Stegostoma tigrinum: one gene and its partners. The main gene of each other region encodes a partner of the protein of the gene in region 4 in a complex. Links are inferred from orthologs where the notes say so. Each region holds a gene or a part of one and is shown on either strand. Other genes may lie near its edges. The genes, in order: klhl22, kbtbd4, dyrk2 and rbx1.

What was found.
Region 1: rbx1 (region 4) and klhl22 share a complex: the UniProt entries of both Homo sapiens proteins name them as parts of the BCR(KLHL22) E3 ubiquitin ligase complex. The link is inferred for Stegostoma tigrinum from reciprocal best matches to the Homo sapiens genes RBX1 and KLHL22.
Region 2: rbx1 (region 4) and kbtbd4 share a complex: the UniProt entries of both Homo sapiens proteins name them as parts of the BCR(KBTBD4) E3 ubiquitin ligase complex. The link is inferred for Stegostoma tigrinum from reciprocal best matches to the Homo sapiens genes RBX1 and KBTBD4.
Region 3: rbx1 (region 4) and dyrk2 share a complex: the UniProt entries of both Homo sapiens proteins name them as parts of the E3 ligase complex. The link is inferred for Stegostoma tigrinum from reciprocal best matches to the Homo sapiens genes RBX1 and DYRK2.

Annotation. Positions count from the first base shown.
Region 1 is NC_081379.1:47,907,357-47,915,327, reverse strand, and holds the start of klhl22 (kelch-like protein 22), read right to left. Parts: upstream 3,001-7,971; 5' UTR 2,602-3,000; intron 1-2,601. UniProt on the Homo sapiens protein: Substrate-specific adapter of a BCR (BTB-CUL3-RBX1) E3 ubiquitin ligase complex required for chromosome alignment and localization of PLK1 at kinetochores.
Region 2 is NC_081370.1:45,664,327-45,672,203, forward strand, and holds the start of kbtbd4 (kelch repeat and BTB domain-containing protein 4), read right to left. Parts: upstream 3,002-7,877; 5' UTR 2,927-3,001; intron 384-2,926; 5' UTR 361-383; coding exon 1-360. Other genes in the region: ndufs3 (NADH dehydrogenase [ubiquinone] iron-sulfur protein 3, mitochondrial), read left to right, coding at 3,058-3,118. UniProt on the Homo sapiens protein: Substrate-specific adapter of a BCR (BTB-CUL3-RBX1) E3 ubiquitin ligase complex which targets CoREST corepressor complex components RCOR1, KDM1A/LSD1 and HDAC2 for proteasomal degradation.
Region 3 is NC_081371.1:37,909,062-37,916,744, reverse strand, and holds the start of dyrk2 (dual specificity tyrosine-phosphorylation-regulated kinase 2), read left to right. Parts: upstream 1-4,665; 5' UTR 4,666-5,015; coding exon of another isoform or gene 5,016-5,058; 5' UTR 5,059-5,280; coding exon 5,281-5,356; intron 5,357-5,402; exon of another isoform or gene 5,403-5,468; intron 5,469-5,715; coding exon 5,716-5,855; intron 5,856-7,683. UniProt on the Homo sapiens protein: Serine/threonine-protein kinase involved in the regulation of the mitotic cell cycle, cell proliferation, apoptosis, organization of the cytoskeleton and neurite outgrowth. Functions in part via its role in ubiquitin-dependent proteasomal protein degradation.
Region 4 is NC_081391.1:5,551,979-5,559,351, reverse strand, and holds the start of rbx1 (E3 ubiquitin-protein ligase RBX1), read right to left. Parts: upstream 3,019-7,373; 5' UTR 2,961-3,018; coding exon 2,886-2,960; intron 1-2,885. UniProt on the Homo sapiens protein: E3 ubiquitin ligase component of multiple cullin-RING-based E3 ubiquitin-protein ligase (CRLs) complexes which mediate the ubiquitination and subsequent proteasomal degradation of target proteins, including proteins involved in cell cycle progression, signal transduction, transcription and transcription-coupled nucleotide excision repair.

The DNA of each region.
Region 1 (7,971 bases), on a different chromosome or scaffold from region 4:
GACTTTCATGGTGCAGGGGCCTTTAGAAATGGTAGTCGGATTTGATTTCAGAATTCCTGCTTCCAACCAGTGGAAGATAAGAATATGGGGTAAACCCGCACACCCACTTCCCACCATCCACTGCAGGAATTTCATTCAGCATTCCAAACACACAGCATCAAATCTGTTAGAAGACTTGGTTTATGGCACCATAGAGAAGTCATGAACCATGAGTGAAACTTGGTCCCCATTCACACCCACACACTCCAAAAAAAAATACAGCCATTCGACATTTCTCTTAAATGACAATGACAGCTTTATGCAAAAGTAAGAGGCAATCACAATTAGTTATTCATAGTATCGATGTCAAAAAGCTATTCTCCACTTTTAATTTTATGTTACCAAACGCGTAGGTACTAAGGATCTTCAAAGATCGGGTTACTACAGGTTCTAATTAAGTCATTTAAACAAAGCTACTGCTTCCCTCTGTAGTTGTTAAACATTGCTGAGTCAATTTTGAATCTTAGTCAATCGTTCATAATAAGGCTATATGTAAAAACATTCTATATAAAGCCTCATTATGAATGATTGACAAAGCTCCAAAAATGATGGAGCCACTTAACTCAACAGCCAATGTGTAAGCAGCCACAGAGAGGAGTGGTAGCTTTGTTTAGGTGGTTTAATTTACCTTGTAAAAAGTTATTATTTTTTTGAATGCTTGTGTGATTGTGTTATTACTGACACAAGATGAAAAAGTATGAAGTAGCCTGACGTCACTGATACTATAAATGTTTGTGATGGACTAACTTTTTTAATTGAAGTTGTAAGGCTTTATTTGCCTGTTGCTTTATTTCAACAGTGTGTTTTCAAAGATAGCAGGAACTGCCGATGCTGGAGAATCTGAGATAACAAGGTGTAGAGCTGGATGAACACAGCAGGCCAAGCAGCATCAGAGGAACAGGAAAGCTGACATTTCCTGCTTTCTTGCTCCTCTGATGCTGCTTGGCCTACTGTGTTCATCCAGATTTACACCTGGTTATCTCAGTAGGTTTCCAAAGTTTCTTTGCTTATAGTGACATTTACCTAGGCATTTTTTAAAAATTATCAAGACTTGCCAATGTGTCATTGATTCAGTAGATGTTGGACATTTAACAAGTGAGTAGGGAGGGTGGGGGCATGGAGTTAGCAATTGAGCTATGAGGGCTCAATGAGAACCCCATCCTGTTCCACCTTCTCAGATCAAGAGGATGGTATTCCTCCTTGGAGACATGTTTGTGGAGTCTGGAATCTGCCTGGCTTCCACTTCCCATCTCCTTCACAACCATGGGTAGCTGATCAATGCACAAATTGGATGGCAGGGGCAGATTAAGTGTGCAGGCTACTTGGAACATCAAGACAACAGGTTGAACTGCTGATGGAATTGCAGAGCAATGGAACAAGTTACATGATCGTAACCTACTGAAAACTTATTCAGTGTAAATTCAAGATTGAGGAAGCTGGATCAGTTCCCGTTTGTGCAGGAAGTTACACCACAGAAGAGACAGGGAGACACAAACAAATACATCAGAATCAGCGTGTTTTCCTGGACTGGTTTCTATCACCAGAGGATTATTGGACCAAAATGTTCCAGATTTTTTAAAAGTATGGTTTGTGTAATGGTTTTTCTGCTGTCCCATAAGACTGCATCTCACCTGAACTATGTCTTGACTAATGTAGGAGGGTATCACAACATTGTGGAATGTTTACGGAACATGGCCCCAACTCACCTCCTTACGTTTTGTTCATGCACAATGATATCAGAGTCTATCTGACAACATGAGCGGTGGAGGATTCTCATCGGTATGCATGCGGACCTTGAACCCCATGCCTCATACAGATAATGTGGGAGGGGGTTCAGGAGGATCATGGAAATATGCAGATTACATATGAATCAGAGTGGCAGTAGGACTTGGAAAGGTGAAGGGATGGGAGGAACAATGGGAACTGAAGGAATTTTGGACCTTGGGAGTGGTTTGGGAATGCGAGGATCAATTCTAATAGGTGGATTTAAGGAACCAGGAAGGGTTAAAAGGAATTAGAGAAGCTAAAAAAAAGAGGAAGGAGAGGGAGGGGAAGAAGTCAGATTTGAGTATTTAAGTAGGTCTCATGTAAGATGTAACTCGATGCAGCATCTAAAATCAGTGATAAGGGCTTTTGTAATAGACCAAGTGACCCAGGTTCAAGTCCCACCTACCCCAGAGGTGGATGATACCCTCTCTGAACAGATTGTTGAGAAATAAGATTTAAAAAGAAAATAAATGGCAAGGGCTGTTGTGGTAGTGTCCTTGCGTGTAGACCAGGAGACCCAGGTTCAAGTCCCACCTGCCCCAGAACTGGGTGACAGCATCACTGAGCTGGCTGATTGGAAAAATATAACTAAAACTAACAGAGTGCTGGTGTTATTTATTATTTTGTTGTTGTTGAGGTGGCGGTGTGCGCTGAAACAATAACAAAGACTGCAGAAAGCCCCTTCGGTAGTCGAGAGGAAGCAAATATACAACTGAAAACGCGACCCTTAGCGTTCAGGGCTGGGAGTACGGGCTCGGGAGGCTATCCAGTGAGGAGTTAATGAGTACCGCCTACCTTGGTTGAAGAGAGTCCGGGCCCCCCGAGGTTGGCTCTGAAGCCTGGGCCTCCCGGCCCGCCGGCCGCCATTTTGTCTCTCATCGCCGTACCCGCCCGATCACAAAATGGCGGCCGGCGCTGACGCAGGAGGGAGCAACCTCTGCTGAGGAATGACACCACGGGGGCGACGGGCCGAGTGGCCGGCTATCAGTATCGGCCTCTGCTCCTGTTCTGGTATTTATTCCCCACACACACGTACATGCAGTTGCCTCCGTGTGAATCCGCCTGCTCGGGTGCCATGGAAGAGCTGCATTCCGATCGCGCCTGCCTCCTCCCCACAGCTGGTTTTTGCGGGCATGTTGGAAAGACGCCGCCCACCTTCACTTATCTTCGACAGAGAGTTATAATCCTAGAGTCCCCTACGGTGTGGGGACAGGCCATCCGGCCCTTCACATCAGCCTCCCACCCAGGCCCCTCCACCCACCCCACTGCGTTTCCCCATGGCCAGCCCACCCATCCCTGGGCACCATGTGCCAGTCCACCCCAACCCGCACATCTCTGGACTGTGGGAGGAAACCCACGCAGACAACGTGCAAACTCCACACAGACAGTCACCTGAGGGTGGAATCGAACCCAAGTCCCTGGCGCGGCGAGGCGGCAGCGCTACCCACTGAGCCACCATGTTGTCCCTGGGAATAAGTGTTGGACAGGCCATAGGAATGCTGCACAGAGTTCAATGCCTCATCCCCATAACCGTATCCCGGAAGGGTTAGCCTGATAGTTCGTGCTGAAGGACTGCTGTGGGAAGTGAACCCCGAACACACCGACCAACACGCCAGGGCACATGTGTTGTTATGTATTGCTCTGAGACATGATTAGCACGAGCTCAGCCCAGCGTCACAACAGTTTAACCAGCTTCCCAGTTCTTGAAGTTTACTGCACTCCCTCCCTCCCTTTCAAATTTTAAATGTTGCATATTACTGAGTTCCCAGAATACGCTATGACCTTGGAGCTGAGAAGGGACATGATTAAAATGTACAAAATTATGAAGGACATGACAGGAAGCAATATTTCATCTTGATGAAGGGACCATTAACCAGATTTAAGATGAGGGGTGGAAGGTTTAGAGGCGATGTGAGGAAAAATCTTTTCACTCAGAGGACGGTGGGAATCTAGAACTCGCTACCTGGGAAGGTGGTAAAGACAGAAAACCTTCATGATATCTCAGAAGTATTTAGATGCCCACTGGCAATGCCAAGGCATACCAAGCCAAGTGCTCATAAATAGGATTATCATAATTAGGTGATTGATCTTGACCAATGCAGACGTGATGGATTGCATGCTTGTTATTGCATTTGCAACCAAAACGTTTATGACTATTACTGCATGTTGCACATGAAGTGTGTTTGCTGTGTTTGGATCTGGCATATGGTGCAGTTGTGAGATTGGTATGGCATACTGCTGTATATGCATTACAGTCCAATCCATTACAGTCCATTTGTCATGGGAAATATGCTGCCGTTGACTACAGTCACAGAGTTGTACAGCACTGAAACAGATCCTTCAGTCCAACTCGTCCGTGCAGACCAGATATCCAAAATTAAGCTAGTCCCATTTGCCAACATTGGGCCTTATCCCTCTAAACTCTTCCTATTCATGTACCCACCCAGATGTTTTATAAATGTTGTACCTGCCTTCACCATTCCATACATGCGCCACCCACTGAGTGAAAATGTTGCCCCTTAAGTCCCTTTTAAATCTTACCCCTCTCACCTTAAATCCAAGCGGCTGAGATTTGTCACAGTGGAATTCCAAGACATGATTAGCATGTGCTCAGCCCAATTTCATAACAGTATAACAAACTACCCAGATCTTGCAGTACACTACACTCCCTCCTTAGTTGAAAATATGCAGAGAATGTCATTGATAAGAGCTATAATGAAGTGGTCACTCCTAAGGCGCAGGTTGCAGGGAGCTGGGTGACCACGAGAAGAAGTAAAGGGGGAAGACAAATAGTAAACGGTTCCCCTGAGGTCATTCCTCAATGACAGGTACACCGTTTTGGATACTGTTGTGGGTGGGATGATCTTTCAGGGGCGACCAGCAGGTCAGTGGCACTGTGACCGGCTTTGAGGCTCAGAGGGAAAGGGTGCAGTCAGGCAGAGCGATACCGATAGGAGACTTAGTTGTGAGGAAGACAGACAGGAGATTCTGTGGCTTCAGAAGAGACACCTTCCTGGACATCTCCAGCACATCCCTCACCTTCCTGGACATCTCCAGCACATCCCTCACCTTCCTGGATCTCTCAGTCTCCGTCTCAGGCAACCAGCTTGTAACTGATGTCCATTTCAAGCCCACCGACTCCCACAGCTACCTAGAATACACCTCCTCCCACCCACCCTCCTGCAAAAATTCCATCCCCTATTCCCAATTCCTCTGCCTCCGCCGCATCTGCTCCCACGATGAGGCATTCCACTCCCGCACATCCCAGATGTCCAAGTTCTTCAAGGACCGCAACTTTCCCCCCACAGTGGTTGAGAACGCCCTTGACCGCGTCTCCCGCATTTCCCGCAACACATCCCTCACACCCTGCCCCCACCACAACCGCCCAAAGAGGATCCCCCTCGTTCTCACACACCACCCCACCAACCTCCGGATACAACACATCATCCTCCGACACTTCCGCCATCTACAATCTGACCCCACCACCCAAGACATTTTTCCGTCCCCACCCCTGTCTGCTTTCCGGAGAGACCACTCTGTCCGTGACTCCCTTGTTCGTTCCACACTGCCCTCCAACCCCACCACACCCGGCACCTTCCCCTGCAACTGCAGGAAATGCTACACTTGCCCCCACACCTCCTCCCTCACCCCTATCCCAGGCCCCAAGGTGACTTTCCACATTAAGCAGAGGTTCACCTGCACATCTGCCAATGTGGTATACTGCATCAACTGTACCCGGTGTGGCTTTCTCTACATTGGGGAAACCAAGCGGAGGCTTGGGGACCGCTTTGCAGAACACCTCCGCTCGGTTCGCAATAACCAACTGCACCTCCCAGTCGCAAACCATTTCCACTCCCCCTCCCATTCTTTAGCTGACATGTCCATCATGGGCCTCCTGCAGTGCCACAATGATGCCACCCGAAGGTTGCAGGAACAGCAACTCATATTCCGCTTGGGAACCCTGCAGCCCAATGGTATCAATGTGGACTTCACCAGCTTCAAAATCTCCCCTTCCCCCACCGCATCCCAAAACCAGCCCAGTTCGTCCCCTCCCCCCACTGCACAACACAACCAGCCCAGCTCTTCCCCTCCACCCACTGCATCCCAAAACCAGTCCAACCTGTCTCTGCCTCCCTAACCTGTTCTTCCTCTGACCCATCCCTTCCTCCCACCCCAAGCCGCACCTCCATCTCCTACCTAATAACCTCATCCCACCTCCTTGACCTATCTGTCTTCCCTGGACTGACCTATCCCCTCCCTACCTCCCCACCTATACTGTCCTCTCCACCTATCTTCTTTTCTCTCCATCTTCGGTCCGCTTCCCTTCTCTCCCTATTTATTCCAGAGCCCTCACCCCATCCCCCTCTCTGATGAAGGGTCTAGGCCTGAAACGTCAGCTTTTGTGCTCCTGAGATGCTGCTGGGCCTGCTGTGTTCATCCAGCCTCACATTTCATTTACAAAGTGTGGAGCTGGATGAACACAGCAGGCCAAGCAGCATCTCAGGAGCACAAAAGCTGACGTTTCGGGCCTAGACCCTTCATCAGAGGTGTGTTGTTTCACCAGGATGGTGTGTTGTTTCCCGGATGCCAGGGTCAAGGATGCCTCTGCTTGGTTGCAGAACATTCTGAAGGGGGAAGCTGAACAGCCAGAGGTCATTGTGCACATCGGTACCGATAACATACGTAAACAAAGGGTTGGGGTCCTGCGCAACGAGTATACAGAGTTAGGTAAGCAGGATCTCAAGGGTAGTGATCTCTGATAACTCCCAGAGCCACGCGCCAGTGGGGATAGAAATAGAGAGATAGGCCAAATGAATATGTGGTTGAGGAGCTGGTATAGGGGGGCAGAGTTTTCAGTTTTTGGATCTTCTGGAGTAGAGGAGACGGGTTGCACTTGAACTGGAGAGGGTCCAATATCCTCACAAGGAGATTTGCTTGTGTTACCTGGGGAGGGTTTAAACTAGTTTGGCAGGGAGATGAGACTCTGAAGAAGAGGGGCCAGCAAAAAAATCAGGGGAAAATATATTAGCCATGGAGAGCAAGTTTACTCTTCAGGATAGCCAGGGGCGCAGGAAAGGGAAGGAAAAGACTTCTGGTTTAAAGTGTATTTATTTCAACGCACAAGGCCTGACTGGTAAGGCAGATGCACTCAGAGCATGGATTGGCCCCAGCGGACCGGGATGTTACAGACATAATGGGACCAGGGCTGAGAGAAGGGCAGAACCGGGAGCTCAGTATTCCAGGATACAGAAACTACAGATGTGACAGAACTAAAGTAAGTGAGGAGGGGGAGTTGGTGTTTTGATAAGGGAGGACATAACAACAGTTCTTAGAGATGATATTCTTATGAAGTCATCAAATGAGGCCCAAAACAAAGTTGCTGGAAAAGTTCAGCAAGTCTGGCAGCATCTGTGAAGGAAAAAAACAGAGTTAACATTTTGGGTCTGGTGACTCTTCCTCAGCACTGTTCTGAGGAAGGGTCACCGGACCCGAAAAGCTAACTGTTTTTTTCCTTCACAGGTTTTGCCTGACCTGCTGAGCTTTTCCAGCAACTTTGTTTTTGTTCCTGATTTACAGCATCCGCAGTTCTTTTGGTTTTTATCAAATGAGGCCATATGATTAGAACTTAGAAACAAGAAGGAGATGGTCACTCTGTTGGGACTTGTATTGCAGACCCCAAATAGCCAGCAGGTACTGGAGGAGCAGATGTGGAGAGAGATTGCAGATACCTACAGGAATAACAGAGTAGCATTGACTGGAGAGTTTAATTTCCTCTGTATTGACTGGGTTACCCAGTCAAGGCCCTGATGGCGTGGAATTTGTCAAATGTGTCCAAGAAAGTTTCCAAAATCAATATGTCGAGGGCCCTACTTCGGAGGGTGCAACACTGGACCTCCTCTTAGGAAACAAGGTTGGGCAAGTGATTAAAGTGTCAGTCAGAGAGCACTTTGGGTCCAGTGACCGTAACTCTTTCAGTTTTAACATACTCATGGAAAAAGATAGGACAGGTCCACGCGTTAAGGTTAAGAACTGGAGCAGGGCCAGTTTTGGGGACATTAGGCAGGATCAGGCAGAGGTCAACTGGGTGAGTCGGTTTGAAGGAAAAGGAACGATTGGCAAATGGGATGCTTTTAAAAGTGTAATATCAAGAGTCCTAGTTAGGGT
Region 2 (7,877 bases), on a different chromosome or scaffold from region 4:
GAGGTCCTCCACTCTCAGTTTTACAGTGCCCCGGTAAATATAGTCCACAAGAAGCTGGAAAACACTTGCATTCACATCTTTGAGTTCTATAACATCATTATGAGCTTCTTTTAAATTAGAGGTGAACATGGAACGGAAGAAGCAGCTCTGAGCTGAAAGCACGAGTCGGTGGAGCTGGAATTCTTTGCCTTCCACAGAGATGGTGACATCTGCAAAGAGCCGGTCTTCAAGGCACAGATCCATAATACTCTGGGCAACTCGCACAGAATGGAATCTATCTGTGAAGGTATAGCTCATGAAATAACTTTCATCTGTTGTTCCAGCGATGGCTGCACCTCCTGCATCACTATTTGGCTCCATTTTAGCAAGTGGTAAAACAGGACCTATAGGAATAATTACATTAAAAAATAAACTGTTTAAATTTTCAAAATGTAAAAATTTTTTTTTAAGTATTTTGTATCCATAAACTTCTCTATGTTATTACAACAATAGAAACTTAAAGGCAGTCATTCCTTTTGCTGATCTCCACTTTAACAAAGCACAAATGTGAATATTGTACATCAACAATAATATAAAGCAGCAATATTTTGCTTGAATACATGAACATGCAATAGAGGAACAAGAATAAGCCACTTGGTCTTTTCAGCAGCTGCACCTTTCAGTAAGATCATGGATGATCCGATTTTAACTGCAACGTGTAAGGTAATGGGCAAAGCCCAACCAGAACTTAAAACAACTTGATTCAAGCTTCTGAAAAACCACTGAATGGGATTTTAACTGATTATGTGGGAACCTTACCCGAAGCCTGGGATGGCAATGAGTATCTTTTAACAATTATCCGTATTTCCTGAGGCAGTATCGTTGGGAAAAATACAGCAAAAAAATTCAATATTTAACAAGACATAGATAATACATGGTTAGTAAGTTTGCAGATGACACCAAAATTGGATGTGTTGTGGATAGTGGAGAATTTCCTCAGAGTGCAACGGGACCTTGATCAGATGGGTCAATGGGCTGAGGTGTGGCAAATGGAGTTTAACTTAGTTAAATGTGAGGTGTTGCATTTTGGAAAGGCAAATCAGGGCAGGACTTATGCACTAATGGTAAGGTCCTGGGGAGTGTTGTTGAACAAACAGACCTTGGAATGCAGGCTCATAGTTCCTTGAAAGTGGAGTTGCAGGTAGATAGGATAGTGAAGAAGGCATTTAGTATGCTTGCCTTTATGGTCAGTGCAATGACTATAGGAGTTAGGTCATGTTGTACAGCTACAACATGACATTGTTGTACAGGACATTGGTTAGGCCACTTTTGGAATACTGCATTCACTTGTGGTCTCCTTGCTATAGGAAGGACGTTGTGAAACCTGAAAGGGTTCAAAAAAGATTTACAAGGATGTTGCCAGATTTGGAGGGTTTGAGTTATAGGGAGAGGCTGAAGAAGCTGGGGCTATTTTCCCTGGAGCGTCAGAGGCTGAAGGGTTACCTTATAGAGCTTTATAAAATCATGAAGGGTACAGAGAGGGTAAATAGACAAGGTCTTCACCTCAGGGTGGGGAGTCCAAAACTAGTGGACAACTTTTTCACAGAGAGTGGTGTGTGTATGGAATGCACTGCCAGTGCAAACGGAGGAGGCTGGTACAATTACAACATTTAAAAGGCATCTGGATGGGTACGGGAATGGGAGGGCTTTAGATGGATCTGGGCCAAATGCTGGCAAATGGGAGAAGATTTATCTGGGATATCTGGTTGGTATGGATATATTGGGCCAAAGGGTCTGTTTCTGTGATGTATATCTCTATGACTCTATTAAGCAGAAATATGGCAAACTGCATTATCAACATACTGGAAGTTAAAATTGATCAGAAGCTGAACCTAGATACATAAACTGTGGCTACAAAAACTGGTCAGAGGTTAGGAGTTCCACAATATCTCTTGTCACGATTCCCAAATGCCTGTTCATAACTAATGAGGTACAAGTCACGAGTGTGGAGGAGTAAAATGGATAAGTGGTATTCCCAGGCTCAACACCATTCAAGGCAAAGTAGCCAACCGACTGTACCCTATTGACCACAATGACATTCACTCACTTCCTCATCAATGTACAGTGACAGCACTGCGTACCATCTGTAAAATGCACTGCAGTAATTCGTCAAGGCTCATTCAACAGCAAACTCCATAGCTATGGCCTCTACCACCTAGGAGGGCAAAATCAGTTGAAATTTCCCTTCCAAGCTGTACACGATTCTGATTTGAAACTTTCCTTCGCTTACAGGATCAAAATCCTGGAACACCCTTCCTAATAGGACAGTGGATATGCCTACAACACACAGACTGCAGTGATTCAAGAAGGTGACCCAACACCGCATTTTGAAATAAATTAGTGATGAGCAATAAATTCTGGCCTCGGCAGTAACGTCCATGTCACATGAACAAATTTTATAAAATAAGATTGCCAAAAAAAGTAAGGGTGCAATTATAAGCAGAAATGTGAACAATTAAATGAAATGGAAATTGTGAAACAGAAGGTTGTATTATTAAATAGAAAGGTGAACTTGTTAAGCAGAAATGAACTATTAAATAGGAAAGGGAAATGATTCACTGAGTTAAAAAAATGGAACAAAGGGAGAAATTATTAAAGTGGAAATTAGACAGAAAATAGTACTATTACACAGAAAGTTGAAGTTATTAAGCAGAAAAGAATGTTATGAAACAGGAAGATGGAATTATTAAATGAAGAAATTTATTCTGAAAAGGGTGAAATTATTCAACAGGAAAGTGTATTATTCAGGCCCTGCGGCTCCGGGAGAAAGAAGATCAACAACCAGGCCTCAGGAATAGGAAATTCCCTCGAATTCACCTCTATTTATTAACCGAGCGGAATCGCATTTCCAAACGCGTCCAAAGCTCTCTTTGTGTTTTGTTTTTACCTTTAATTATCAGGAGCAGCGGCCACAACGTCCGAAAGGGGATGGGGGTAGGGGGGAAGAGTGAAGGTGAACACGGCGGCGAGGAAGGAAAGGATTGGGGGGGGCGGACCGGTAGTTCCGGTTCCGTTGGTATGGCGGCCAGGCTGGTGGGTCTGGCTCGGGCCGGATGGTTGAGAACCTTCCGGAATGTGGGTGAGTGGCGGCGACGACTGAGGGCGCAGCAGGCGGTGTAGGGTCCCCGGGAGAGGAGGAGGAGGAGGAGGAGGAGGCGGCGACGACGACGACGACGACGACGACGACGACGACTGATGAAGGATTCGGGGAGGAAGGAGAATCCGTGTCCCCGCTGTTTGACCTTCGTGCGCAGCCGGCACCTGGAGGTGGCCACTGCCGATAAACCGGGTGCAGGCCTAGAGACTGGAAGTGGGCTGTTGAGACAGGGCACTGTGGATATGGGGTGTAAAGGAAAAGTGTGAGACGAGGAGAACAGGATGCTGTAGCCAGTGAATGGGGGAAAGAGGGCAAAGGGTGTTGCAAGTAGTTGAGGGGGGGAGGTAGGGGAAATGCAGCTTGGGGCGAAATAGGGAATGTGCTGCAGCTGGTGGGGAGCAGTGTGTTGCTGGTTGGGTCAGGTGCTGCAGCCAGTGTCGGGGTGGGGGTGGTGGTGGAGAGAGGGCAGGATACTGCAGCTGGTGGGAGGGGAGACAGAAGTGGGTGCATCATACAACTAGTGTGGGTAAGAGGGTGGAGATGCAGGCAGGGGCAAGCAGAGAGGAGGGTGCAATGGGTGTAGCAGAAGAGGGTGTTGAAGCTGGTGGAGAGGGGGAGCATAGAGGGTGTTGATGGGGTGCACAAGAGGGTGCTGCAGCTGTTGGGGGTTTTGGGTGCTGGTGGCGAAAGTGTGCACTGCAGCTGAGGAAAGGGATGTGAAGAAGAGGGTACTGCAGCTGTTTAGGAGGCAGTGAGCTGCTGTAGCAGTTTGGTCTGTGAGATCCCTGAGTGTGTGTGGGGTTATGGCATTGCTAGGAGGCTTGTGGGTGCTGCTAGTGTGCTGGTTGTGGACTTTCTTGCTGGAGTAGAGTTGCTTCTGTGCAGAGGGTGTGGGGGTGAGGTAGGGAGAATGAAGAGTCTGGAGTTTTCTTTGGATTGTTGGGTTCCCTTTTAGGAGATTCCTACACACTTGATACAAATGCAATGCGCCGACTTCTGTGCACAGCCACAGTTTATTTAAGCAAGTACAAGCTTTTGGAGGATTTCTTAACAAACTTTGCAGGGCTTCCATAGTCGTGTCAAGCGATGCTGTCTATTAAGGGAACTTTCCTCCCTTTATACAGGCTTTTTTAGCACAGTCAGACATGCATGCAAGATACAGTTTTTTTCTCCTCCCTCGTAGTTACATGCCTAGCAACAGCGATAGTATGTAACTTAATCATCTGACAGTAAACCAGAGGTCAGCTGCCCAAAAACAATGTATGAGACTGGACACTTGCTTGTCTTTTTAGCCTTAGTTCAATCTTTACAGAGAACAGAGCATAATTAGATTACCGTAATTTGTCTGCGAAACAGGGGTGCTTATGAGGCATCAAGTTGCTTACAGATGTTTCACTTGGAGAGCAGAACAGATATTAACCCTTAACATTTCAGAATCACTGCAATGAGAAACATCAGGGCTGAAGGTGAGGGTTTGACTCAACTATTCAAAGCCTCAAGAATAACAGGGACTTGATCCTGGAGAATTGTAATACCTTCTGAAAACTAAAGGGGAACATTGATATGTGGCAAAATACTTTGTTAGATTAAACTGACACTTTGTAAAATAAATTGCATCTACTAGTGGGAGTCACTGTTTCTGCATCTTCCCAAAAAGCTGTGAATCTTGGAGTGATTAAATCTTTCAGAATAATGAGCGTGCAACATGGGTGAGAAAGTGGTGTTGAAAGTGTATGTCAGACATGATTGAACTGATAGAAATGTTAGCAGTAATAGTTTGTTATTTTCATTGTTCAGCTGTTCAGAATGTTCTTGTCTACATTGCAATATCTGGATTTTCTACTGTGTGAGAGCAGGGATTTTAAAAATTTATTTGTACATGGAATGTGAGGCATCGTTAGCTAGGCCAGCACCTGTGCCCAATCCAAAATTGCCCTTGAGAATATGATGGTGAGCTATTTTGGGCTGTTCTAGTTGTGAAATAACAGGTGTATCCACAATGCTGTTAGGAAGGGAATTTCCAGATTATGACCCAGCAGAGGGAAGGAATGGTGATATAATTCCCAAGTTAGGATGGTGGGAGGGAAGAGGAACTTGCAGGTAGTGAGGTTCCCATATATATTCTGTCCCGCACTTTATGTATAAGTTTCTGGGCTTGAAAAGCACTGATAAAAGAGGCTTGGTGAGGTGCAGCAGTGAATCTTGCAGTTAGTGCACAATTCTGCCAGCTGTGCATCTATGATGTAGGGCGTGATAATTGAAGATGGTAGATCGGGTGCTGATCAACTGGGATGCTGTTTTGCTGTTGAGCATGTTGGAGCTGCACTTGTCCAGGCAATGGATAGTATTCCCTCATACTCTTAAGTTGTTCCTTGTAGATTTTGAACAGACATTAGGGTGGTTGAGATGTGATTTATTTGCTGCAGAATTCCCAGCCTCCAACCTGCTATTGTCACCAAAGTATGATTATAGCTGATCCGGTTCAGTTTCAGTGTAATATGGTTCCGAAAAGTTCAAATGGCTGAATTATTTCTCATGCAATCAACTTTGCTAAAGTGGAGGATCTGAGTTAATATAATTGCTGGTTGTGAGACCCTGCAAAATTGCCTTCTGTATTTGCCTATAATACAATGCTTTCTAAGTGTTTAATTGTGAAGTAATTTAGGATGTCATGTGGTTGCTAAATGTTATACTTCATTTTATTTAATGAATTATTACTATAATATTAGAACTACAGAATAGCTGGTAATTGCAGTTTTTGGCAATGTGTTGCCCCCTGCTATGTTTTCCTGGTGAAGCTTAGTAAAATGAAGTCTTAGTGCTTAACTGCATCTGATTTGCTGATGGTACCCATCTCGTTGATGTATGTCAGACTTTGAGTAAAAATTATGAAGTATTGTCCTGCTTGTTCAACTGATTCTTGGCTGCTTTGTATCTGATGCCTGTTGATTATTGTAATTTTACTTGACCTAGTGTTAATGTTCATTTCAGTGAGTTTTTAGATTTCCCCATTCCTTTCAGCTCTAATTATTCCATGTTTTGATGAACTTTCCCCATTATTAAAGCCTTTAATCATTTTGCATGTTTCATTTAAATCATCTGTAGATCTTCTGTACTCATTGAAATTGAACCCTGGGCAAAGCATTCAGTCCTCTCAACGCTGGTATTATCCTGAGAAATCTATTGTGCACCCACCTCCATTGTGAATGTATCCATTTTACAATGGTATCTTTGTAAAGAGCTTTATGTAACATTAACGTAATCACCATTCATTTGCATTCCGTATTTCTTAAGATAAAGTTTAATATTCCATTAGGTTCTGAAATGAGTTTTCAACCCTCTCCAGCAGTTTGTGATTTTCATTCATGAGAACTTGAATCTCCATGCTCTGCCACTACTCACTTGGAAAGTAGTGATTCTTCCATTGTAATTACTCTGGGTGACCTGTCACTTTCCCACGTAAAACTGTATTTGTCATGGTTTTATGGGTAAAACTATCAAAGTCTCCTTGCAATATCCCACTTCTGTCTCCAGTGCTTACTGTGCCACCTAACATAATCATCAAACTTAGATTTGGAATACCCTATTGATCTAAGTTATTGATAAATACCCTGCAAAACTGGCAACAAGACCATTCAATTCCAGGTTCTGCCCATTCTGTGAGACGATCTTTGTTGTATTTGAGGCAGTTTATATTACCTCACTGTTTGCCTCTTCTCTGAATATATCATGGGCAAAATTGGTAAATATGTAAAAAAGCCTTAATAAAGAACTTTAGGAAATACTACTAGCCACCCTCCAGTCTGAATCACTACTATTTACTATGGCTCACTGTTTGTTTTCTATCTGTAAGTAATTTTATTTCTTTTGATCTAAGATGACACTGGCCTTCCTCTTCCTGAGCCTGATTTTTGCTAACCAGCTCTGTAGTAGTTTGTCAAACATTCTTAAAATCAATGTAGACAAGAAAAACCACATTCCCTTGGACCTTCTGTTTTATGTCATCACATAATTCAGTTAGATTAGACATGCACAATTCACTTTCCATAAACCTGTAAATGGCTGTTCTTAATTAACTCAGGCATCTCCAATGCTTGCTAATTTTTTGATTTTCAAAACTTATCCATCACTAATGTCTCACCAGTTAGTATCAGTTAGAAATGTCCTTTTCACCCTTCCTTGAATAAGGTTGTCACATCTGCCCTTTGTCTTCTGCCACCTCCATTCTCCCTGATCTGGAGAAGAGTGAAAGATTGTGGCAAACCCATCAACTATTTCCCCATTTTCTTTAACAATCTTGGGTGCTAACCACAAGAACCAAGTGACTTAAATGTCTGAAGCGCAGACAGCCTTTCCGTTATTCTGTCATACACTGCTTCTACCTATATTTTGTCAGCATCCTCTTCTTCAGTAGACACTGATACAAAGTTTTCATCAAGTACTCTAACCTTGTCCTGTGCCTATAAACACATATCACCCTCTTTGTTTCCAATCTGACTCACAAGTCTTGCACTCCAACTATTTTTGTTCCCTTTCATGTTATTAGAACACAGAACATAGAGCAAAACAGCACAGAACAGGCCCTTCAGCCCACAATGTTGTGCCGACCATTGATCCTCATGTATGCCCCCTCAAATTTCTGTGACCATATGCATGTCCAGCAGTCTCTTAAATGTCCCCAGTGATCTTGCTTCCACAACTGCTGCTGGCAACACATTCCATGCTCTCTCAACTCTGTGTA
Region 3 (7,683 bases), on a different chromosome or scaffold from region 4:
GAATAATTAACCACTGAAAGCAATTATTAATCTGCAATCAAAACAAGGGTTTCAAATATTAGAGCAAAGTTCAAATCGCTATTGAATTTTAATCAAATCTTTAAATTAGACGATTGCTTTGAAATTTATAAGTAAGGTGTGACAGCAATTTTGTTTCAAAAGTCAAGTATTTTAAGCTCACCACTAACAACTCTCTTTGTCTTCTTCGAAGCTCACTGAGGTAAGGGAGTTGTGGTTGCCAGTTTAAAAACTAATTTATTGTAATTTTCAGATTAAATGTTGTTCATCATAACTTTTCTTAAATACAGAAATATGTAAGTGAAAATAAATTACTTTCCATTTCTATCAATTTTGATCATGTGAGCATCTGTGGTAGTTTGACAGCTGTGAGTTCTGTAATATGACTGCTGGAAGGTATTAAAGGTGTTTAACATGAGTTAGATTGATAATCTCCACTGATCTCCACAAAAAATGTACCTAGTAAAACAACTGAAGAATCATTGACGGATCAAATTTCCATTTTCAAATATATATGCACATTCCATGCATTTTAGTACACAATTGAATAACATGAGAGGCACTTATTGATGGCATACTGTATGTCACAGTGGTGATGCTGAGATGTGGTGATCACATTAGATGGAACAATCATAGGACTTTTTCACATTTCAGGAAATCACATTAAGATAGACCCAATGAAATCCTTACAGTTCAAGTTTTGTGTTTCTAGTTTAATGCATTTGTAGATTGCTCTTGAACATTCAAGAACTTGATTTTTCAATTTATTTGATTTTTAATACATGGAAACAGAAATGTATATTTAAATGCAATCCCACTGCATTCTCAGCCTGCTTATCACCAGAACATGTAAAATGAAGCTTTATGCATGAGAGTTTTTAAAAAGCCAAGAAAATTTATTTTACTTATACTTGCTCAATGGATTTTCTTCTACCAGGAAGATTTTAGTTTTGGAATTCCCTTGGATTTCAAAGGGACAGAGCATCTACCTGTTTCTTTCCAGTTCAATTGCATAACGTGTACAGTAAATCCTGTGTATCCATAAAATTCCCCTATCCTTGTCAAAAAAAGTAACAACAAAAATCAACATCTGCAGGCAAAAATTACATATCTGTGATAATATTAACACTATTTTTAACAATTTCCATGCTCGCAAATTTTGTCATTTGTCCTTAGGAACAGAATCCTTGCAGGCAAGGAGGAATGACTGCATATCTTTTAAATGGAAACTATCAGAAGTGATTAAAAGAGATAACAAAGTGTGGAGCTGGATGAACATGGCCTGCTCAATTGAAGTCTCTATGGTTCATAGGAATTGACATGTATTCACAAACGGTTGACTGCGGGTAATGAATAGTGATCACATTTAATGATGTAACATCAGGGAGTACATTTATTTTTCAGATGGGGCCATCCTTCATGGTAAGTCAATTGTACATTTGCCAGGTTGAGCTGGATGAACACAGCAGGCCAAGCAGCATCTCAGGAGCACAAAAGCTGACGTTTCAGGCCTAGGCCCTTCATCAGAGATTCACACTTTGTCATCTCTGATTCTCCAGCATCTGCAGTTCCCATTATCTCTGTTCATCTGCCACCTATCCATTCACTCTTCCAACTTATTTATGTCTTTTGGAGATCTACATTACTGTCTCACAGTTTACAAACTTCCAAGCTTTTTATTACCTGCAAATTTTGAAATTATTCCCTGTACTTCAAGGTTTATATCATTGATATATATCTGGAAAAGCACGGCGCCCAACACTGATTTCTGTGGAGCTCACCTACAAACTTGTTTTTAACCTATTAACCATTACTGATTGTTTTCCTCCCACTCAGCCTGTTTTGTAAGAATGTTGCTGCAATTTCTTTAATTCCATGAGTTCTAGCATTGCTCCTAAATCTGTGTGCAGCACTGTATCAAATGCCTTTGGAAGTCCATGTACACCACATCAACAGCATTTTCCTGGTTAACCCACTCTGTTACCCCATCAAAAGCTCCAGTAAGTTAGTTGATTTACTGATAAGTAATCTATGCCTGCTTTCCTAAAGTTGTCTATGTGGTGACTAATTATTTACTTTTCTGCTGATTGTAAGTTATTGATGGTGCTATGTTCAAAGTGGCTCAGTGTCTAAATCTTAAATGTTGAACTTGCCTATTATGGAGCAGGCTTTTTTTTCAGCTGTCGACTAAATTTAATGGAATTTCTCAAACTGGACTAAAGGCTGTGCTTGAAGCCAGTCATTTTGCATATAGCTGACAGATGTATTACAGTGCATGTAATTAAAAATAAACCTATTGGTGTAGATGTTTGGAACAATACCATAATCTATCGTGAGGTATAGCTTCACTCAGTGCCACTAACATAGATATGGGGGATGAAAAATTGGACAAGTGTGTTTTGTACTCAGGTTTTTTCTACCTGTAACTTTCCAAACAGCTGAACTTACTCCACTAGCATCTTCTTATATTTCAGGAGAGGGTCTTACTAAAAAGTTGAAGATTCACGTGGTTCATTTTGTAGCACTTCCACAGAATAGAAATGCATTAAAAGAAAGATGCATGTGAAAAGGTGCTTATCTAATGCCAGCTCTCACGGGAGTTGCATGAACTACAAAACTTCTGTTACAAGATAATGTATGGCTTAGAAAGGGTGGACGCTGGGAAGCTGTTTCCATTAGGTAGGCGGGGAGACTAGGATCCGTGGGCACAGCCTTAGAATTAGAGGGGGTAAATTTAAAACAGAAATGAGGAGACATTTCTTCAGCTGGAGAGTGGTGGGCCTGTGGAATTCATTGTCGTGGAGCGCAGTGGAGGCCAGGACGTTAAATGTCGTCTTCAAGGCAGAGATCGATAGATTCTTGCTCTCACAAGGAATCAAGGTTTACGGGGAAAGTACAGGGAAGTGGAGCTGAAATGGCCATCAGCCATGATTTAAATGGCAGAGTGGACTTGATGGGCTGAATAGCCTTACTTCCACTGCTATGTCTTATGGTCTTATGTGTAAGCATCACAACCCATTTATGAGGAGGACATAAACCTCAAGCCATGACTGGTATCACAGAGACCCTCAGGATCAGGAGTTAGCTAACACATGACTGAGGATTAGGGAGACAAAGGATGCATGCCCAGGGATAAGATGGTCAAGGAACAGGGACAAAAGGACCAAATCATGAGTCCAGGATAATGGGTGCAGAAGTCAAAGTGGGTGGGATTGGGAGTCCTTAAGTAGGGGGGTGGGCTGAGTTTAGGAACAGGAGTTGAGAATTTAGCTCTTGAACCTTTTCTACTATGGCTGATCTGTGTCTTAACTGTGTTTAGACACTTGCTCAATATCCCTCGACACCCTTACTCAATAAGAACCCCGTTTTATCAGTATTAAAAATTTCAATTGGCCCAGTTTTGGCCGAAGAAATTTCAAGACTGCAACTACGAATTCATTCTTAACGATTTTCCTGCTCCCTGCACTCAGACACCTTGCCATCTGCAGATTTGCTTGCAACTTTTTTCTTGGATTAATTTCACCCTGGTCCAGCATGCTACTATTGCTGTTTGACTGCTGTGTCTATGTCATGTCTTGGGGTGTTGTCCTTGCACTTTCTGAGCTTACATTGCTTAGCAAAACAAAAGTTAAAATTGTCTGGCTGCATGCTGCAATTGGCAGAAAATATTCTGGACTGTCTTCAAAATTTGAGACAGTCATTGACATTGGTAAGTATCTCGCTTGACTAATGTACAGTGATGTACCAATTTATGAGTTTTAGAGATCATTCTAAAAACTAATTGTAATAATTAACTTTGTGGAAAGTAAAATTATTAACTTAGATGTTTGCAAATACACTTAATTCTATGTATTGAAACTATGTTTTAGAATACGTATTGTTTTAAAATAGAACATTGCTGTACTTTGATGCATTATAAATATCCTTCCACTGCAGTATATTTAATGATTTATAAGTTTAAAGCTCAAAAATACTGTAATAGCAACAAATTTAAATGGAGCTCACCACAATAATGACAATACCAACATTAATTTGGGAAATTAATTTTATACCTGTTAGTGAAATATATTAACAATCTGTGTTTACATCTTGGTTGAACATTGTAAGGAGCATAGTTCAGAAATTGCGGGGTTTATCTTTGGACTGCGAGATATTTCACTTTTTCAGGCGTTTTAAAATAACAACGTCCAGCCTTTTTTTGTAAAGGTGACGCCTTTCGTTGGACCACCAGTTGGATCCCCATATTAGGTGAGGACAGTATTATCACATTCATATGGATGAACTCAGGGTCATTTAGGTGAGCCTAGCATTTTCTGTTCTTGCCTCCTATGCCTGTGTGATTTCACTGTAAGCTCTTGTCCACTTTCTTACTAATCCATTCCGTCCATTGTGTGATGTTTTCTTATTGCATTTTTAACCCCAGAAGTTGCCGTTTCTTTATCGCTGTTTCTCTCTCTCTCTCTCTCTCTCTGCTACAGACTGAACTCGCCAACAAGCATTTCTCCCAATTTCCTTAAAGAACGGGTTACCCGTTCCCTTTGCTGTGCCCGAGGCAACGTGAATGACGTCGGTGTTTTGCTTGGTTTTTCGGGTGTCGGCTGTTTTGAAATGACTCTGCGAGTATCTCCCTGTCTCTAATGTGTATGTACGGAGTTTCACTTAGCAACCGGACGGCCAGTGTTACAACCCGAATCAATCAGCATTACACACAGCTACCGTCTTACTGCACCATTCCAGTGTAGAACACAAAGCCGCTCCCAGACAGCGGCGTGCGGGGAGTTGCTCGTTGTGTGTGTCTGTTGATAGTTTTTTAAAAAAATATATCGATGAAGTTGTGCATGATGTTGTCAGGGCAGCAGTGGTTGAGTTCGGAGCAGTTTGTAGACTGTACGGACGTAGGTGACTCTTCCACTACAGCCTGGAGTTGAGAGAAGGATCAGCTAGAGATTTTTTCCCTGTGTGTGTGTGTGTGTGTGTGTGTGTCTGACTGAGCGGCCATGTTAACGAGAAAACCCTCCTCGACTGCTGCCTATCCGACGGGTAAGGAGATCCACAGGGAAAGGGCCAACACCCAGCCAGCTGCATTGAACCAGACCCCACGCCGTGTGTTTTCACTCCAACTAATTTCCAGCTCCGTGCACCTTTCATATCGTTGGAAGGGGAACTTTTTTTCCACACACACCCTTCATGCTTTGACATTTGGGGTTGGATGGGGGGGGGGCGGGGTGGTCTGGCCAGAGAGAGGGTGAGAACTTCCTACTAATGGAAAGTGTGCTCGCCTCGGCGAATGAGGATGAGGGTTTGGAGAATGATCAACTCACTTTGGTAGTTTTGAAAGGTCATTAATTTATAATAGTGTATGGCGGAGGGGGCGGACCTACTACAGTTGTCCCCCGGGGCTAGGGTGGGTTTCGGGGGATAAAGGATTTAGCTTTATGGTTTCCTAAAAGGTGTGTGTGTTGTGTGAACATTTGTTGAGGTGAGGTTGGTGTGTTTAGTTTGCTTTAGTGGAACAAATGGGGATTGTGTATTGTGTTGTCGATCGTTCCCTGGAGGGTGTGGGGTCACGGCTTTCCTGCCGTTGATTATAAGCGCTTGATATCTTCTGTTTACTTTAACGCCGAGCGCTCTTATTTTCTCACTCGTTTTGAACATCTGTGGCGCTTTTTTTTGTGTGTATGTGTATGTCTGTGACAGGTAGGGCCGCTGACAGCACGGTGTTACAGCCCGATTACAGGACGGGAACCGATTGCTCGGAGAGGCAGAGAGGCGGAGCAGGATCTCGGCTGGGAGACCCGCCATCGCCCCTAGGATTGCCGCCACTGAAGAGTCATACGGTAAGAAAGACAAAACCCACTAAAACATTGTGAGAATTTACCAGAGCAAACGCCTCTGGATTAACTGAACCCGCGTAACAAGAGAAAAATAATCCACCATGGAAACCACAGTGCATACCATGTCAAAGTACAGATTCAGTAGCACTTGCAACAATGAAGACTAAAGGGATGTATGTCTTCAATTCAGGTGTATCGATTGTTAAGTCACTGAAGATACACTGGAAATCTTACATTTTTCTTGCTCCACTAGTTTGATTGTGGGTGAAGGGCGTGTCAACAGTTTAGATAACAAGTATGCATATTCCTTGTTGGATAACCATAATCGCTTTTTCACTTGAGGTTTCCATACGTTGACATAATCATTTTCTAATTGCGGGTTTTGTGTTTCTCAGCCCTCACGGTTACCACATTTTGCAGGAATGCAATTTTAACAGACACACAAAGCAAGTATAGTCTAAAGTACCAGTTTATCTGTGAGGGATGTGACTGCACTGGAGAGGGTGCAGAGCTTTACCAGGATGTTGTCTGGGCCCGAGAGTTTTGGTCATGAAGAGATTGAATAGACTGGGATTGTCCTCTTGAAGCAGGGGAGACTGAAGGGCAAAGACAGAGTAAAGCATTTCCCCTTAGTGGAGGGGTCAATGACAAGATGCATAGATTTAGTGCAAAGGTCAGGAGGTTTAAAGGGAAATGAGGAGAATTGTATTTTCACCTAGAGGGTGGTGACAATGTGGAACTCAGTGCCTGTAACGATGTTAGTAACCCTTATGACATTTTAGAAATATTTAAATGTACACTTGTGAAGCTAAATATTGGATGATAGGATTAGAACAGTTAGGTGCTCGTTTTGACTGACACAGACTTGATGGGCTGAAGGGCCTTTTTGTGCTGTAGATCTCTCTGACTGGCCAACAGTCATACTAAGTTCAGACGAGGTTTCAGTTGGGGTTGAGATAGTAAACTAATTATTCTTCCCACTCCCACTCCTTCAAAACTGCTGTAATTTGGAAATAGTTTGTAAACTAGTAGGTTAAGGCTACAATATGATCTGAGTGATGTTTTTGGTACAGACCAGTTTGGATACGCTGGATATGTCGTGATCCTCAACTCTCGGAGGCCTCGGTTTTAAACTATGGTCTGATAGATCACAGGGTGGGGGCGGGGAGAAGCATGTTTGGGACTTCAAGTGAAGCTTTGTTTAAATGAAAAGCATTATCGCCTGTTTTAACATGAAAGTATTGTGCTTTTACGAGTGACTGATGCGGGAAAGCATGAATATTTCTCTCGCGGGAGTACAGAAATGTTTTGTTTGACTAAGAAATTTGCTGTTTGTTCCTAACCCGCGAAGTGCACTCGTTAAAAATTTTTCGGGGAGCGGAGAGCCGGGGGGAGGGGGGGGGGGGTGCTGATGCAGGTTGTGCAGTGATTGTTCAGTTTAGACTTAGGTTAAAACAATCTTAACAAAAACTAACGCAAAAACGCAATTTTCCACCCTACCTCCAAATATATAAAATCCACCCGTTTGGAATAAAGCGAATGTCAACAAAGGAAGCGATATGAGCATTAAAAGATTTAAATGTATTAAAATGAATTTAAAGTAGATGCCTTGGAGCCCGGGGAGATGTTACGACAAAATTTTTTTTCTTCCCACAACATTGTCCGGGCGTATTAAATACTTCATGGCTTCGCTGCATTTGCGTGGTGCATCTAAAATAGCAGTTGATCCGCACAGTGGGATGTTTATGATTTCTGATCGAGACACATTTTTAAATTGTTGTTATCCCACTATTCCAATGTTTTTAAAAGTACACAAAAATCCCATCTTGAA
Region 4 (7,373 bases):
AGGGAAAAATGGACATAGTAAATGGACAATTGCACGCCCCCTTTCGCACTGCGCTCTTGAAATATCTTAGACTGGAATAATGCTTTCCTAGTTCTGATTTCAGACCCTGGTTTGTGGTGCTGTGTACGTGCAATGTCAATAAAAGCATGACATGACGTTGAAGAGACACTTCCACTGCATCATCCCATCAAGTTTGTAAATGCTTCGTATACCGCAAAACTTTGAACGCAAAATAGTTTAAAAAAAAACTTACACAATCCCTCAATTCAGTTTTCAAGTAACTCTTAAAATAACCTCAAAAAAATGAAAGAAATATCATTGGACTTCTGTACCATCACATTATTTGCAGATATTGGACAAACCACACCATAACCAAGTGGGAAATAAGTGGACAGTCTGGAAAAACTCACATCAGCAGAACAACAATTTAACATTAAGCTCTAAACTGAATGTGATATTAGCTTCAAATACTTATGACACTTTAAAAGAGGATCACTGCCTACTGATGGGGGGGGGAGTGGGAGGAAGAGAAGAAAAGAGAGAGAAAAAGAGACCTAGACAGAGAGTTTTTCTTTCCTTCATCTACTTACAAGTTCTGAATCTATTACTAAATTCCTTTCCCAATTCATTCCTAGGATGCAAATATCAACAAGTTTGGCATTTGCTGCCCATTCTAAAAGGCCTTGAAAGGAGTTAACTTGGCAACTATTAGAAACTGAATTTAGCATATTCTAGTTTCCGTAGTCACCTCCAGACCTACTACATTCCTGATCACTGCAGCATCAGCAGCCATGCAGTTCATAAAACAAACACAGTCATTGATATGTCCACTAAGAAATTCAGGGTGAAGGTACTAAGGTATAGCTTAGATGTACTGCAATTAAAGGGAAGCAGGATTGGTACTTAGGGAGAAAGGAGTAAAAGAATATGCTGGCAGAATGAGATAATGTAATAAGAGAAATTAGTGAGAAGCAAATACTGGCAGACGAGACTGCACTAAGTGTAACACAGGTATGTCAGATAAAGACTGAATGACCAACTGCACAGCTTTCTATAAAGGGCCAAATGAAGAAATATCATTAAAGACTGCACTCACCACAAATGTTCATGCTTAGGCTGCACCTAAATTTGAGAAACTCAAGGGAATTTAAACACTTTGGGGCAGTAAGTTCCAAACTATTTTGAAAACAACAACCTCAATTGGAGGAGCAAAAGCAAAAGCAATCATATCACAAGAACTGTCTCCCCTTAGATAACAACCAGCATCACATCCCAGACAGCATCCAGCCTTACCCTGCTATTGTCTGGTACTCTCTATGGCCAATGGGCTACTTCATTTCTTTACCACAGAAACAAACAAACAAACAGTCATATAATGTTTCTTGCAGAAGCACTCCCATTTATAAAGTCTGGTCCCTGGTATCGGGTGCCCCCAAGCTGAACAGTGGCGTGTCTCAGCCAACCCAGAACTGTGATACTACAGAACAATCTGGGATCCAACATCAGTCACCTGAAGACTAGAGTCTATATTTCTGCTCTTTTCTGGCCAACATGCCAGATCCATGACCCAGATTGGCTCACGTTAAATCACTGCACACCCCTAGAGTCAACCACATTGGTGTGGATCTGATGATACATGTAGGACAGACCAAACATGGGCAGCAGTTTCCTTTTCTAAAGCAAATTAATGAACCAGATGGGTTTTTCCAACAAACAGCAATGATTTCATGTCATTATTGGACTCCTCGTTCCAATTTTTAATTAGTAAATTCAAGTTCCACACCTGCCAAGACAGGATTTGAACTGAAATCACCAGAGCATTAGGAACAATACCACTAGGCCTTCACACCGATCCAGGTACACAAAATAACATTTATAAAAAGACATCATAAAATTTATTATTATGTATTTGTAACAATTACATGTCAACCTATAATACAACTTTTAAGTTTACACAGCATTTTGACAATGAATATTTGTTTTTCTCTCAAATAACTGAGAAAAGTGAAAACATTTGTGAACAATGGAAGTGTCTCTATTACTGTTAAATGCATGCAGGGACAAGGGCTACAACCCCTCAAGTCTGATGACAAGTTTACTTCTGAACTCACTTGCACCATTGAAAAGCTTTTTTTTAAAAAAAAGCAAGAACTTCTTGCACAGGGTAGGACTCATTTTTTTCTAATACATTGAAATCATTTAATATAAACTGTAATTAACTTAGTTCTCTGGGATAAAGGAATAAAGTTGAGGACTCAATACATTTAACTTTTCTCTTCACAGATGCTGCCAAACCCAGAGTTTTTCCAGCAATTCCTATTTTCAATTACAAAGCAATTCTTACTTTTATTGTTAAACAATATACCAAAAATGCACGTACGAATGTGAGCGGGAAGTGAACTGTTTGTTTCTGTAGAGTGTTAAAATGGGTCCGTACTGGAAGATACTATCAGGAGCTGCTGGTAACAAGTCCACACCCGCTCCTCTGGTCATCTGTCTCCCTGAGAAACAGACGTGCACCCAGCGGCCTAAAAACAAACACATGTATGTGACAGAGGCCCAATGACAAAGCAGCAAGCGAGCAGTCTGCGCCTCTCAGGAAGGGCAGGCCGGGGGCGTGCGAGCGTGTCAGACTAAGATGGCAGGAGGTGGGAGCGGGATGAGATTTAGGGGGCACGGAGACACTAGGGGCGCAAGAACCTGCCCAATGCTCTTACGGTTAGCTCACGGCCACCATTAGTCAGCTGGTGCTGCCAATTAAGCCGCCAACATCCGGTCGTGTTTCGATCCGCTTCAAACTGCCAGATTTGGAAACATCACACGTTTCAATACCCAGCCCTGCTCCGTTGGAAGCAGTCTGTATCCTGCATCCTAGCATACTGTACCTTCTTAACCTCGAAGCGCTTCTTCCCGCCACTGTTGGTAGAGCTTGGTGCGTCCACATCCATTGCCGTCGCCATTTTGTCTGCCTTCAGCCGGTGGCTACCTGTTGCCAACCAATCAGCTATGTTCAATTTGCACATGCGCAGCCGACTGGTTAACGCCCCGCCTACTTAGCGTCACGAGGATCCCGACAACACTAAACTTCAAAAACACTGTACTCAGCCCCGCCTCCTCCGGTATGGAGGGGCCAGGAGTCCACTAAGCTCCGCCTCTACGTCACATGTTCTCGTCTACACCCCGGAGTTTCCGTTTCCTCTCTTGTGGAGGTACCCAAACAAAAGTCCTGCCCCTTCGCAACGCGTTTCTGGCCACGCCCACTGCACGAAGCAGAGCTCCACCTCCTCCCGCTATTTCGCCACCAAACCCGCTGTACATCAAAGGCCTGCCCACCTACTGGCACGTAAACATCACCGTGTGGCGTCACAGAGCCACGCCACTTTCCGTAACGTCACCCCAGTAAAGCCTCGCCTCTCTATGTCGTCACCTAGTACCGCCTCCGATGGTAGGACCACCCGGATGAGATGCACAAAGCCCACCCCCAGAAGTGACCGCCTACACAAAGCACCGCCCCCATCTCGGCATGGCGCCACCTGCAGGTAGTGGTTTGCCGTGATTTCTTCCTCACCCCCACGAGGCCATGGCCGCTGTTATTGGGGATCATTGCCCTGTTGTTACCATCCTCACCACCAGGAAATCAAATCCCTTTGTGTTTCAATTATGTGGAATTTGATTTTTATTGGAGTTGACGTCAGTTGTGCTTCATCGAATACAACTGAGCATGTTGAACGTGGAATATTCCGAGGGGTTTGATAAAAGCAAATAGTCGAAGCAAAGATAGAATGCTGGCAGCTTGAACGCAAAATTCTTCCATAAAACTTATGGATACTGGAAGAGTGGTAAAAAGATAAGCAGGGCCAATTGGAGACCAAAGTGGGAATTTGTGCAAGACTTGGTGGAGATGTGAAATTAGCACTTCAAAACTTTTCACAATGTAGAAGATACTGATCACACCTTAGCGAGACTAAAACACATGAATTGGAGGCTGGAGCAGGCCACTTGGTGCTTCTAGCTAGCACGGCTGATCTAATTTCCATCAGTCTTCACAGTGGAATTCACCAGCAGCATACCAGAACTGAAAGAATGTCGATGAACAGAGATGAGTGTGGTGGCCATCACTTAGGAGAACATACTTGCAAGGCTGAAAGGTCTGGAGGTGGATAAATCACCAGGACCAGTTGGACTACAAGTGTCTGGAGGAGATAGCTGAGGCGATTATGGATGCATTGGAGGATCTTTCAGGAATTACTGGAATCAGTGAGGGACCTAGAGGACTGGAAAATGGCTGATATAACACCTGGTTAAGAAGGGATGGAGGCCAAAGACTGGAAATTATAGGCCAGTTAGCCCTGGTCAATCATTGGTAAGATTTTAGAATCCATTATTAAGGAAACAAGATGGTTTTTTTTAGATTAGATTCCCTACTGGGTGGAAACAGGCCCTTTGGCCCAGCAAGTCCATACTGCCACTTGAAGCATCCCACCCAGACACATCTCCCTATAACCCACGCAACCCTGAACACTACGGGCAATTTAGCATGGCCAATCCACCTAGCCTGCACATCTTTGGACTGTCGGGGGGAAACCGGAGCACCCGGGAGGAAACCCACGCAGACACGGGGAGAAAGTGCAAACTCCACACAGACAGTCACCCGAGGGCGCTGTGAGGCTGCAGTACTAACCACTGAGCCACCGTGCCGCCCCAAATTGTGTTAGAGGCAAGGTATTGGTTGAGCCAGAGGAATGGCTGACTGGCAGAAGGCAAAGCGTGAGGAATCTGAGCATGCTGATTAAAAATATCGACATTGAAAGTTCTTCCATTTCACATTGAAATGTTTTGAAGTGATTCACCCAAATAACTACTTTTAAAATTGATCCACAGAATAATATAGCAAAGAAGGAGGCCACTTGGCTATTATGTCATTACTGGTCCTTCAAAATAACAGTCTATTACACGGCTCTTTATCCCTGGCCCTGGAGGTATTTTCCCTTCAGATATCTAGCTACTTTTGAATCTGGTTCCGTCACGTTTTCAGTGATTTCCAGATCACAAGTGCACTTCCCTCGTGTCATCTCTGTTCTTTTGCTCATGAAGCCTGACATCGGTGTTGGGAAAGTTGTTGGAGGGGATCCTGAGGGACAGGATTTACTTCTATTTGGAAAGGCAAGGACTGATTAGGGATAGTTAACATGGCTTTGTACATAGGAAATCGTGTCTCGCTAATTTGAGTTTTTTGAAGAAGTAACAGGATTCATGAGGGCAGAACAGTGGATGTGATCTATATGGACTTCAGAATGGTGTTCGACAAGGTTTCTCACAGCTGACTGGTTTGTAAGGATAGATAGCATAGAATACAGGGGGAACTAGCTATTTGGATACAGAACTGGCTCAAAGGTAGAAAACAGGGGGTTGTGGTGGAGGGTTGCCTTTCAGACTGGAGGCCTGTGACCAGTGATGTGCCACAACAATTGGTGCTGGGTCCACTGGTTTTTGTCATTTGTACAAATGATTTGGATGTTACTGTAGGAGGTATGGTTAGTAAGTTTGCAGATGATGCCAAAATTGGAGGTTTAGTGACAGTGAAGAAGGTTACCTTAGAGTACAACGGGATCTTGACCAGATGGGCCCAATGAGCTGAGGAGTGGCAGATGGAGTTTAATTTAGATAAATGTGAGGTGCTATATTTTTGAAAGGCAAATCAGGTCAGGACTTGTACACTTAATGGTAAGGTCCCGGGGAGCGTTGCTGAACAAGACACCTTAGAGTGCAGGTTCATAGTTCCTTGAAAGTGCAGTTGCAGGTAGGTAGGATAGTGAAGAAGGTGTTTGGTATGCTTGCTTTTATTGGTCAGTGCATTGAATAAACGGGTTGGGAGGTCATGTTGTGGCTGTACAAGACATTGGTTTGGCCACATTTGGAGTGTTGTGTGCAATTCTGGTCTCCCTCCTATAGTATGTTGTGAAACTAGAAAGGGTTCAGAAAAGATTTACAAGGATGATGCCAGGGTTGGAGGGTTTGAGCTATAGCTAGAGGCTGAAGAGACTGGGGCTATTTTCCCTGGGGAGTCAGAGGCTGAGGGGTGACTTTTATAAAGGTTTATAAAACCATGACGGGCATGGATAACGTAAATAGGTATTTTCCCTGGGATGGGGGAGTCCAAAACCAGAGGGCAATAGTTTTAAGTTGAGAGGGGAAAGATATAAAAGGAATTTAAGGGGCAACTGTTTCACGCAGAGAATGGTGTGTATATGGAATGAGCGGCCAGACGAAGTGGTCGAGGCTGGTATGATTACAACATTTAAAGCATTTGGATGGGTACATCACTAGAAAGGGTTCAGAGGGATTTGGGCCAAATGTTGGCAAACGGGACTAGATTTATATAGGATATCTGGTCGGCATGGACAAGTTGGACCAAAGGATCTGTTTCTGTGCTGTCTATGTCTATGACTCCAAGTGACTACATGGTAGACAAGTGCAGCAACATTCAACAGAGTTAACATTTCACGTCTGGTATGGCTGTCCTTCAGAAGTCATACTGAACTCAAATTGTTAACTGTTTCTCTCTGCATAGATACTGCCAGACCTTTTGGGTTTCTCTAGCATTCTGTTTGCTTCAGTTCCAGCATCTGCAGCATTTTGCTTTTATTTAAATACTTTGTCCAATGTTTCTTAACCAGGTTCATACTTCATTTTTAGGTATGTCTGACACTGCTTCTGGCATGCCCTCCTCCATTCTTGTTTGAACCAGGGTCAATCGCAAGTTTGTTCATTATGGGAGCGCGCTAGGCTGTCAGATTAGAGGTTGTAGTGGAATGTAATTCTACTGCTGATAGTACACAGTACCTCATGGATGCTTAGTTTCGAGTTGCTAGATCTCTTTGAAATCTATCCAATTAGCTGATGGTAGTGCTGCACTATGAGGCAGGGCAGTACAGTGTTTGGCACTGCTACCTCACTCCGCCAGCAACCACAGGTTCAATTCCAGTCTTGGGGGACTCTCTGTGGAGTTTGCACATTCTCCCTTTGTGTGCATGGGTTTGTGCCAGGTGCTCCGGTTTCTCCCACAGCCCAAAGATGTGCAGGCTAGGTGGATTGGCCATAGTAAATGCAGGGTTATGGGGATAGGATGGATCTGGGTGGGATGCTCTTTAGAGGGTCAATGCAGACTCTATGGGTCAAATGGCCTCCTTCTGCACTATAGGGATTCTGTGAAGATATTGTTGATGAGAAACGGGGACTTTAGCCTCAACAAGGACTGTACATTACTCCTACCAAGACATGGTGAGATGCATCTGTAATGACTAGTTTAGTAGGGATGAGGGCAGGTAGGTTTTTACCTCAATGGCTTCCTCAGCACCTGTTGCGTACTGAGT